Drosophila melanogaster: one gene and its partner. The protein of the gene in region 2 interacts with the protein of the main gene of each other region in a pairwise test. Each region holds a gene or a part of one and is shown on either strand. Other genes may lie near its edges.

Region 1 (8,114 bases), on a different chromosome or scaffold from region 2:
ATTTTTTCATTCAGAATTTGCTACGCAATTTACGCGTTTAATTTGTTGCTGCCTCTGTTCGCCGCACTCGTTTTTCTGTTATTTCACACACAATTTTTTTTATTTAATTGCACACATAATGAACAATATTAAATGCTATATTCGTATGTTTGTGCGTTGAAGACACGCACTCAGCCAATTGAAAATTGTATTTGCGGTTGGGTTTCAATACAACAAATTTATCAAGCACTCACTGAAAATGGAATTGGCACTTTAATTTTTTGTTAAAATGGTCTGAGGATCTTAACAATGATGTATTTATTGATTAAGTGTGGTTTTAATGAACTTCAAAAACGAGATTATTTAATATGTTATTAGTTTTATTCGTTTTCGTACAAGTTTCTTTAGGTTTTTGATCAGACAAATTTGTCAACCAGTTTTTTTTTTTTTAATATTTTTATAGTGTGCGAAAATATTTGTATTGAGCGTTTAGAAATTTAATAATTTTTTTCTGTGACTTGCACGACGAAAATGTGTGGATTCAACTGGGTTCTTGGACACAGGTATCTTTCAGGGAATATTGGAGGTATTGGGAACCGAAAACGAAACCGATTCGGAGCGGAGCGGAACCGAAAAGTCGAGCGACGCGTGCACTTACAGCGACGTCTGAGCAGCAAAAACTCGAGAATAACCAAAGTGCGGCTCAATTTATACGAGGAGTCGAAAAACACAGACCAGAAGATACATTTACAGATGCAGATACAGATACGCGTTCTCTTTGTGTTAGTGTATCTCAAAGATACTTCTAACCGTCACTCTCTTACGCTCTCTCTTCGCTGTGGGGGTGGTCTGTCTCCGCTGTTATCGTTATTGCCGCTCTCTCTGCGCGCTCTGTGTGTTTTGGTTATAAAAGTGTAGTAGATTTTTGGCATTTATCTGTTTTTGTTTTATTTGCATATGTTCAATATGCACGACCCACATTGTTGTTGGTGTTGTTGTTGTTGTCTGATCGCGGCGTATAGAAATAATACGTATACACATGTGTATATATACACCGAATGTACATATTATCTCTCTCGCCCCCCACTCGCACTCACACACACACACTCTCACGCACCGCACACATACAGTTGCACCGCCTGAGTTCCGCTGCCCGTCGGCACAGTCCGCACACGGTAACAATTCGAATACGAATACGCAAAACGGTCTGGCGAACTGAAAACAGCCAAAACTTTTCGCCTGCGCCGACGTCGACGTCGGCAGCGCAGCTGTTTGGAGCTGTTGGGGCTCTGTTAGGCCCCCACGCTGTTAGGGCTCTGTTAGTTCGGCTGCTCTCTCTGTTTGTTATCAGTGGCGTGCGCTCTTTTATCAAATTGGAAAGGGGATTTTGGAGATCAGACAGATCGACCTGGGTTAAACTTTCAGCATACCGGAATATTAGAATACATTACGTTTATAAGGGAATAATTGAAGTGGTTTTGATAGAAGTACCAATTCTTTCATAGAAAGACCTTTATTTTGATTGAAATTCGACAAGTTTGACTTTCTCTTAGCTTGGCTTAGTGTTTTTTAACTTACGAATCACATGTAGTACACAATATTTATTGTTGCATATGTACAATAAAATACATTTTCTGCAAATGACTCAACCAAGATTTTTCGTCTGGGTGGGGTGGGTAATATAAAAAAGTGAAGAGAAGTGATGGATATTCTAAGTCTATGATTCGATTGATTAATTTCTTATTATGAGCTATACATTATTTTCACTAAGGCATGAGGAACAGCTTAAAGCCTGAAAGTTTTGCATTTCAAAGAAAAGTGTTTATGATGAGGAATTTTGGTGGTTTAATGTTCGTTACATTAATGCTCGTTACATTTTAGTTAGTTCCAGCGAAGTACTAAAAAGGAATACTTTTTGCAAAACGTGCTAAATAGTTTCTATAAGTTGCTTTGTGTGTTTACCAAGTGATTTTTGCGATTAAGGGTTATCTCTTAGGTTATGCATCTGCTGTCTGTCGGTGCAACTGACTTTACAATATAGTCTACAGTCTTGGAGGCTAATGGAATTCAGTTTGCGAAATTCCTCGAGTAACTCTCTGGTCGCCTATTAATATTCATATGTGCAAAGTACGTATCAATTGCATATTCGGCGCAAGGTCGTCTGCCAAGCGGCCAGATAGATAGGCAAACTGTCAGATACGCGTACTCATGCAAAGTCTGTGCGCAATAATCAAGCAAATTGAGTGCAACGCAGGCGATGGCGCAGCCGTATCTATTGGCTACTCTTTTGGCAAACTCCCATCGATATCGGCTCGATTCGCAGCTAGACGGCTAATTACGTGACATGTTAGACGCGAAAACAAGTTAAACACGCTCGTTCGATTTGTGTAATTAATTGCAGGCCGAGACGAGCGAGAGCTCAAAAACAAATTCACCTCGAAATGTGCATTGAACTTTTGCGGTTGCTTTTCTCGCCGCCGCCGGATGAATGTTGTTTTCCCTTTTCGGTGGCTCGCTTTTTTTGTAACCAATTCTAGTTGCAATCCGCTGCTGATAACCCGCAGATGAACCCATGGGTGTTGGAGCTTCCACATTGAAGGGGGTTACGCATTCTGAGTGGGCTTGTTGGTGGGTGGGATGGGGCACGAGCAGCTGATGCAGCTGATGTGTGTGTGTCAATGTTTCAGCTTGTAAACAAACGGCAAGCAAATAATGACAAAGTCGACAACGAAACTCCAAAAGTGTTCCTTATTGTTTGTTGTATTGACTACATCGCTGGGCTTATCGCTAACCGTTGTCAGATGGAATAAACATTCACATTTATATGTGTTGCACACAATGTGGTGTGGTATGTATGTGCAGTGGGGCTTCCTTATGACGAACTTGTATATTACATATATTCCTATAAATATTAGGTATTTTTATTGCTAATAAAATAAAAAGTAGAAAAAGCAAAAGCTTGCCATACAATTACTTTTACTAATTCTTATTTCTTTAAGCGATTTCCCTAATTGTTGTTAATTTTTAATGAGCTTGATATTTTACTACTGAAAGGGGAATTGGATGGGGAAATGTTCTTATTTAATCTTGACTGAAAGCAGGAAGCACGCTTATGAATTGGATGAGTTTGAAGCGAATAGAACGGATCAAAAGTCGGAGCTGGCCTATAATGTGTGTCAGTGGTGATAAGCAAATGCGGGGGGTGGGAAAACTATTGTATAAGATCTGAACGGAGTCACTCGATTCTACTCCTCGATCGAATACAGTTTGCATTCGTTATAAGGGTACTTGCCTCTGCCACTCCGAGTCGCCCCATTCCCCGAGTGTGCCTGCCATGACTAATTAAGTAACCAAAAAAGTATGAAAAGAAGGCAAAAAGCTGCTCAAATTCTCAGCATTAAAACGTGCCGACAACTTTGTAAAGGCTGCCAAAAATGCACATTTTTATTTATATTCGCACACAAGTTGTTGGGACATGCTTTTTTGGAGTTGGAATCGATGCGAAGGGTAACTTAGCTGACACGTGAGATTTGAATTTAGCATTTGGGATAAGTGGAAAATGAGAATTATCTTGAAAGTATCTTTATTCGGATACTATTTTAATATGCATTTGATTTTTGTCAGACTAACCATAAAGATTAATCTTTAAATATGAATTAATTAGTAGGTAATAGTAACTAACAGAATAAGTACAACAAGATTTCTTAAGCTATAAGAAATGTAAATATTTAAAGATAATACGTATGTTTAAAAGAGTTAGAAATAAATTCGAAATGAATGTGAATAGATGCTTTTTATAGTCTAGCCAATAATTTGTTAATTATTTCTTAAATAGTGAATTTGCAATTGAAAGTTCCAACCATCATATTAGAGTACCAGTGGGTGTGTTTTAAGGGGCTGAAAGTCGAATTCCTGCCACATGGAGTTTCGATTCCTGGACTCTTCTGCCCGTGTGAATCATGAGCATTAAGCATAAAACCGACATTTAGCTGATTGATCTTAATAAGAATTTTTGCGGCGGGGCGGGGCATTCGGGCGGAGGATGGCTAACGGATCCGTTGGGACGGGTCAATAACATTGTGCGGATGCCTCCTTCTGATTCTCCCCCATATGCATCCCCATATGGATCCACCGATGTTGAGTCCCTGAATTTGAGGGCGTTGCTGGGCTGCGCCTGCGCAACATAACAAACTTTGTGTTTGTTTCCCCCACTCGATGGCGTTTCTTTAATAACTCAGAGTCGAAGTCAGAAATTTTTGGAAGCGAGTAGGAGCTGGGGGGTTCCCTTGTCGGAAATCTGAGTTTGCTTTGCTGAGTTATGTTGCATAGGGTTCTTTCATCCGACTTGGTGCGCGTTTGTATCTCCCAGTATCTTGCGATATAGATATATCTGCGATTTGCACCCAGAACGGATGTCTGTGCTCGATTGTTAAATTGAAATTTGTCGCCAAAAACCAGCAGAATTTGCAAAGCAAATTTCCGACCGAAGTGTCTGGCCTGTTGCATATTTCATATGTTTTGATTCTTGTCTAAAGCTACAGCTTTTTGGCGATTCCTCTGCAGATTTATGCGCAAGTGCTTAATCGAGGCAAGGATACAATAGAGGGTGGAAAAACTGTGCCAAAAACAGCAGTTTTCATTTGAAATCTTCGATAAAATGCAAGACTTCAAGAATTTCAGATTCTACGGTTTTTATTTTTATTATATACTATCAAATGAGGGTATTTTCAAGTAATTATTTCTGATTTATGCGGGTAACCATATTTTTTCTAAGAATATTTAGTGCAAACAAACAAAAAGCCCATAAATCAATTCACTTTTATTTGACTTTTCGAGTGCATTTGATTGTTGCTCTCGGGGTGAGCAAATTGCGCAATATCTACGTCGATTTTTGGCCGTCTAGCAGGCAAATTAAATCAAGCTGCACAGCCGAACACGAAATATATAACCTGATTTCGATGTCTGCAATTCAAATTAAATGCAATTAAACCGAAATTGATAGAAACAAAATCGAACGAATCCAGCAAGCTCTGCGTCTGCTTCTCCATTTTTTTTCCACGATGGCACTTGACAGCTCCTCCTTCTTTTCTGTTCTGATTGCCTTTCCTTCGTCCTTTAGACATCTCAAATTTCGTCTAGCCGAAGTCTACGCTTCTAAGGGGCTTATAAAAAAAAGTATATATAAAAAAGAACGAGACAGAAAAAGGCCCTGGACTTCTGGTTTGGGTTTGGGGTTCGCCTGTCTGCTCCCTGTCTGCTGCGTGGTTCCTTTGTGCTTGGCTTAGATGCTAGTCGGGTTTGGACCTTTTTTTTATGTTGTTTGGGTTAGTCTGCCGAAATTCTGGGTCTTTGTTTTGATTTCGCATTTTGATATCATCTTTCGGCATGTGCAAAGGGGTCGGAGGGGTGTGAGGGAATGTCGCTCTCAAAGCCGAATTTTGTATATATTATATGCGGGATTTATAGAGCTGGCAGTTAGTAGCGAGTCTGGTTGATGCAAGCCAAATTAAATAAATAATTAAATTATACATTTACAAGTATGGAGTTTCCTTGCCTATTCATAATTATTATTTATATTTAATACATTATTAATCTTTTACTGTTTTTATTATCCCTGCTGATTCACTACACAAGAATGCTGTGCTATTTTTGTAAAATAATATTATACATAGTTGTATAAAATTTATTTATATGTTTAAGGTTCCACATAATTTTTCGTACTACAAAAAACCCAATTAAGTTCTTGTTTTGTTTGGTATAGTAGACATACAATGGCTAAATTAAAATTAAAAATTAAAATTAATTAAAATCAACATTTTCAAAGGCCTTGTTATCTGAAGTACCACAATTACATTGTACCCTTTTATAGCCTTTTAACTATTGTCATTAACTATATCAGTGATAACAATTTTATGTATTTGTATTAATCTCTCATTTCAACTACTATCTATCGTTACTAACAGTTTTCTGCCAAAACGATTTTAACTTTTAATTTGATTTGACTTTAATTATTAGGCAAAGTATCATTGGAATCTCTTGGATGAACATCATTATGGTATTTAAAGCTCTTGATTTATCAGATTTCATTTCTTTGTATTAGAAACGTAATCAATGTGAGTTATTTTTATCATTTTTATTTATTAAAAATTTTAAAATTATTATTATTAAAATATATGTATATATTTGATCCGCAGATGTTTTCGCTCATCTCTGGCGAAAAATTACTCTTCCTCAATCTTTTGGCTGCCGAAAAAGTAGCCAGACGAATGTCCACATGTGCCGGGTATGTTGTATATAGTATCTGATGTCTGGACTTTTATTGTATGGCTGACCTTGAATTTATGGAAATTGCATAAGTGGGAAGAAGTTTGTCATATTAAGAAATATACTGGAAGCATAGAAAGCCGAAGGCAGTGATGGTGACATAAACGACCAGACCTTGGCATTGTGTTGAAGGACTGTGAATCGAATTATTCGAGGAAGTTGCTTGAATTATGGCTCAAGGGGGTACTTTGAATTTATGAGTATTCAGGATATTAAGAATGTCTTTTTTTTCGCCGGCCAGCACCATCCATCCATCTTCCACACCCCGAAAACCAAACGAAATCCGCTTCCTGCTGCCAAATAATTTACAACTTGCGAATGCGATGCACAGGCTATGGGAAGAAAACAAATAATGATCAGTCGCACATAATGCATGCATATATCCATGGGCATATCGATAACCCTTATCAAGTGTGCGGCATCGCGGCCAAAAATATACAAATTATGCTTACCAAAAGGCAGAGAAAACATAAATCAATGGTTTTGGAATACTCTAACCAAGACAGCAATGTATGAAACTTCAAACATTTTTCCTTATTTCCAAATTTACTTAAGAGATATTAAGATAAGTATACAAGAAGTGCAAATTTGTTGTACCTACTTAAATATTCATATGCATACATGTATGTACATACATATATGGTTATTTGCGTGTGGTTGGTCGCCTCAAGTGATGGGCGTGGCACTTTCAACTCTGGTTCAACCCATACAATCATGAAAACTCTGACCAGATCTTGCCAAAAATGAGCCCACCTTGAACCTGAGTTTATCAAATTGCAGTCATTTTGCTTGTGGTTTTTATAGTACTTTCAAATAACTGAGATTAGTTGGTCAGTATCGTTACAAAAAAAAGGGTAAAAGTGATCGACTTTTTCACTTTCCGCCAATTTGAGGATATTTGCAGAGATTTGAGTGTTGCATGATTCATAATCGAACATTTATATCATAAAAAAGTAAACAGTTCAGTTGCTTATTTATTACGCAGAATTGCCTTAAGAGTTCAATTAACCATTAAATATTTTTAGAGGTGAAACAACGTTTGCCCTCACTTAATCGACAAAATTTGAACTAATTCGAATAAAATTAAGAGTCAGAACGAATTCACGAGTGGCTAAATTATTGTTTAAAATGACCAAGGGCGTGAGGATTTGCAACGATGGATTGCCTGGTTTGCCGAATGAAAGGCCATATTCCCGAAGAACTTTAGATACGCGGCAAAAGACTCAGAAGATGTCCTCCAGGCCATCTAGGAAACCATTGCAGTCTCTACAAACTGTCGGTCGGAATACGAGTTCCAGCCTGAAGCGCATAGGAAGTCCGATCTCCGAGGAAGAATTTGGTGTCCTGGTGCAGCAGGATTGTAAGGCAGAGCAGCATCACACCGATCGCCAAAACCTGGCGGACATAATCCTTATGCAGGCCCGTCGCATCGAGAAGCAGCAGCGGGAGATGAAAAGAATAAAGGCGCACTATGAGCGCCAGGTGTCCACCATCAAGAACAATGCCATCATGCTGGAGTCGCATCTGCAAAAGGTGCTGGCCAGTGTCGAAAGGGATCGGGCCAAGCGGATTGGCCACCACTGCCAGGACATGCTCGGTGCCGTGGAGAAGCTGCAAAGGAGCGACATCCAAGTGAAGCCGCAATCTTCGGCCAACCAATTGCTGATCCAGTATCTTCACTCCAAGAAAATTTCGCATTCGACCAAGAAGTCCAATGAAAACACAAGTAGGTACAGGAATATGTTGTGAATCGTATTCTTGTGTGTACATTGTGGTTTCACTGGGTTTTGTGGTCAGCTTAAATTAGCATA
Region 2 (3,633 bases):
TTTCTTCGATGTACGCCGTCAAGAATCACATGCAGACCCATAAGGAGATCAGCAGCAAAGGAAGTGTCGGCTCTGGTACGCCGAACATTAAGAGTGCGGCCACCTCGAAGAGCCAGGCAGCTGGGAAGTTCTATTGTAATACTTGTGGAGCTGAGTACGCACGTCTCTTCGCCCTGCGCCTGCACATGAAGTCGGCTCACGGTTTGGTGGAGGAGCAGGAGAATCCCGCCACCTCAACTGATGCTGCACACGTCGCTGAGACCGATGATTCCGAGACTGCGGTGTTGATAGCGGCAGCCGAGGCAGATGCCGCTTACATAAACGCTGTGGTAAACGATGTAGACATCGTGGGCACCGTACCCACCTACGAAGAGTGCGTTGTGGTGAGTTACTAGTTCTTTGTATCTCTTCCCAAACTTACCTTTTTCTCTTCCTTTATTGCAGTTTGACGTGGATAACTTCCACAGCGAGGAAGTTATTACAGATTGGCTTAAGTAGCAGTTCACAGTTTTACATCCAATAAATATTTGTCTCAAAAATATGTTGTACCTTGAGTATTTTATTTTTGCGTTAGCTCCCCACACATTGAAATCCATCCGCATTGATGTAAGCTAATAAACACATTTGTTTTGATGTAGAATTAATGAAAGGAAAAGAGCATATCTAAACTAGCATATGGATGCGAAATGGTTTATATAAGTTGCACATAAAATACAGGAATACGAATTAAATATTGTGTGCAATTGTGCAAATGTAAAACTTTATTAGGATTATAACTGGCGTGTAACAAGTAAATATATTGCTGGCGTACAATTAGACCAGCCGTTGTGTTGGCTGACGACGAACAGGGATATAAACGCGATATTTAACTACAACTAAATGTAAAACCTTAGACTAAAAAAAACGTGTGATTGGTGTGTAGCCTAGGCGTTGACCTTGTCCTCGTCACCCGTAGTGTCGTCCTCCTCCACCTCGCTGTTGTCCTCTTCGCAGATCTCCTTCAGGACCTCCACCAAATTCTTGGCCTCGTCCAGTTCCTGGCGCATAGTGTCCATCTCCTCCTCAAGCCCCTCGATGCGCTCGTGCAGATGGCGGTTTTCGGTGAGCGAGTCCTCCAGCGCCAGTCGCCGCTGCTCGGCCAGCAGCTTGTAGTAGTTCTCGCCGGGTTCGGCTGTGCTAGTGAGATCCTCTGCCGTGATGGGCTTGTCAGCATTGCCAAGCGGAACGGCCTCAGCATCAGTCTGGGTATCCGCATCCTTTGTGGAAATCGCGGGCGCCGTGTCCACGCATTTGCGCTTGCCGTACTTGGGCGCGACTTGGACGCCGGCCTTCAGACGACTCAGCTGATCCACGATGGAGGCGCGCCCTGAACCAGTGAGGTTCTCCTTATCGTTTACGTTGCCCTGCAAGGGTTTCAGGGTCTGTCTCTGCTGCTTCAGGTGCTCCTTCTGCTCGGCCTCTGTCTCGACTTGGATGTAGACCCTGGCAGCGCTCGAAGACATCTTCGGAGATGTGTATTGTGCTTTCGGTGGGTTTGGTTGTCAGGCGGCAGAGCGTGTGCTACTTGCTTGTCTGTTGTTTATGCATTAATTTGTGCGCAACGCTTCACAGTTTTCCATTCGTTGTAATGGCCGCCAAAAAATGCCGATGCCGCGCGCTGTTGTCCAACACTGTTTGCTCAAGGGGCTGCATCACATGCAATTTCATCCCTCGATTTCGTGTCACGACTATCGCAAAAAGTTACCAAATTATTTTAGGAATGTAAAATTAAGATATCCCTTAAAATATAATTACAAACCTACAAAAATAATGTGAAAAATAACAAATCCTACGACTGCTATGTAGTAGAGTACTTCAAAATATTACCAATCATTCATATTAAATAATTATGTTAATAAAATATTAAATAAAAGCTTGCTGTATTCTTGCTGGTGGATGCTTATCAAAAAAGTATAGTATTAAAATTTCTGTATAAAGCAAAACTAAAAACAAAAAATGCAGCTTACTTTTTGGAAACAGTTTTCTAGCGATGTTTTTAAATTGAAAGAAAACCATACCTACCCTGTGTTTTAAACGACAAAAACAGTTAGACAGATACCTAATTTTAAAGTTAAATTTTTACTTCTTTTGCAAATCATAATTCATACTCAGCCAAGTAGAAGTCAAATATACCCCAATGTCGGATGTAGAATTTTAAATACTAAAAGGAAATGCCTAACATTTTTGAAAACATCATTAGCGTTTTTTAATAATAAATATTAAAATAGCTATAAAGCGAAGTATAAATAGGATTTTAGTTTTTATTTGTTTGGTTTTAGACCTGGTTATGGATCTTGAAAATAATTTAAAAGATTGTGTAAATTAGTTAAGAGATTATAAATAAGAATTGCTTGGATACTACCTTCTTATTAAGCTAGTACTCAAGATGTCCAAATAACATGTAAGCATTTAGCATTTAAAAGTATAAATAAAGAACTTAAAAGAGCTGTGTAGCTTAGGCTGAGCACCTTAAGTTTGATTGATGTATATTGAAGTTATAAATTCATTTGTTGGTCTTCTAGAAACGCGATTTCTGTGATATTCCGCCAGGTGGCAACGCCAGTCACGTCACGAGGACACGAAGGATAAACGTGCGATAAGAGAATAGCCGATAAGAGCTCCACCCAGTCGCAAAAAAGATGTAATTCTCGAAGTAGCGGATATAGATCGTTTACTTTTTTATTTTTCACTCGCAACTCATTCACCGCACCTCCATCCGCCCCACCACGTAGCAGTAGCCCCAAGATGGACCACAACGAAATCTCCATGACTATGGACGCCAAGCTGGATACACACGATAAGCGACCAGTGGCGCTGCGTTACAAGACATGGACCCGCTGCCAAGTGAAAATAGAGGCCATTAAGTGTGTGCCCTGCTTCCTGCGGCTCAGTTTCCAGGCCATGGAGACCGAGTCTCACTCCCAAGAGTGTCACCCCGCTAAACCCATTAGCGTCTCCGTAAACGTTCCGGGCGTCAGCTTGAGCCTGGCTACCTCGCGCACGAAGCAGCACTCGTACGGGCTGTTTTGGACGCAAAATCGGCGGGACTGCTTCATCTATTTCGCCCTGGAAACGGAGACATCCTGCCGACGTCACATGAAATGGATGCGGAAGTCGATTAAGAATCTGGAACTTTATCGCCAGGTCTTTCTAGAACAGCGCCGGCTGAGCAGGGGTCCCGGAGGTCTGGGCCCACTGCCTAACCTGCCGGAAACCCTCGACGCTAGCGCTCTCTCTCCGCGAGTCTCGCAAATATACGAGGAGATTTTTGACGGCAGCCGCATCTCCCGCGTCTCAATCGCATCCGGCATTTACGAAGAGATGAAGCCGTCAGTCATGGAGACTCCTTCACCGCCACCGCTGCCCGCACATCCTTACCGTCAGCGAATAAACACTTTTGAGTGCGCCCAGCTTGGCGAGATTGCGCGGTCCAGCACCAATCCCGAATCGGAGCTGGCCAAGAAGAAGAAATACAAGAACATGCTGGACAACCTGTTCGGGAGTTCACGTCAAAAGCGTTCCGGCAGCACCAGCGAGGTGGCCAATGAACCCAGCGATGAGGTCCTGCCACTGTATGAGAATGCCCCCACGCCG

Evidence for each region. The genes of interacting proteins can lie anywhere in the genome.
Region 1: the proteins of geminin (region 2) and CG6333 interact in a two-hybrid assay, tested with the Drosophila melanogaster proteins (2 studies listed by BioGRID).

Annotation. Positions count from the first base shown.
Region 1 is NT_037436.4:17,480,183-17,488,296, reverse strand, and holds the start of CG6333 (uncharacterized protein), read left to right. Parts: upstream 1-2,066; 5' UTR 2,067-2,106; intron 2,107-5,994; 5' UTR 5,995-6,092; intron 6,093-6,173; 5' UTR 6,174-7,431; coding exon 7,432-8,052; 3' UTR 8,053-8,114.
Region 2 is NT_033778.4:6,654,728-6,658,360, forward strand, and holds geminin (geminin), read right to left. Parts: upstream 1,868-3,633; 5' UTR 1,799-1,867; intron 1,728-1,798; 5' UTR 1,503-1,727; coding exon 924-1,502; 3' UTR 736-923; downstream 1-735. Other genes in the region: Opbp (Optix-binding protein), read left to right, coding at 1-383, 445-498; sced (scrambled), read left to right, coding at 2,785-3,633.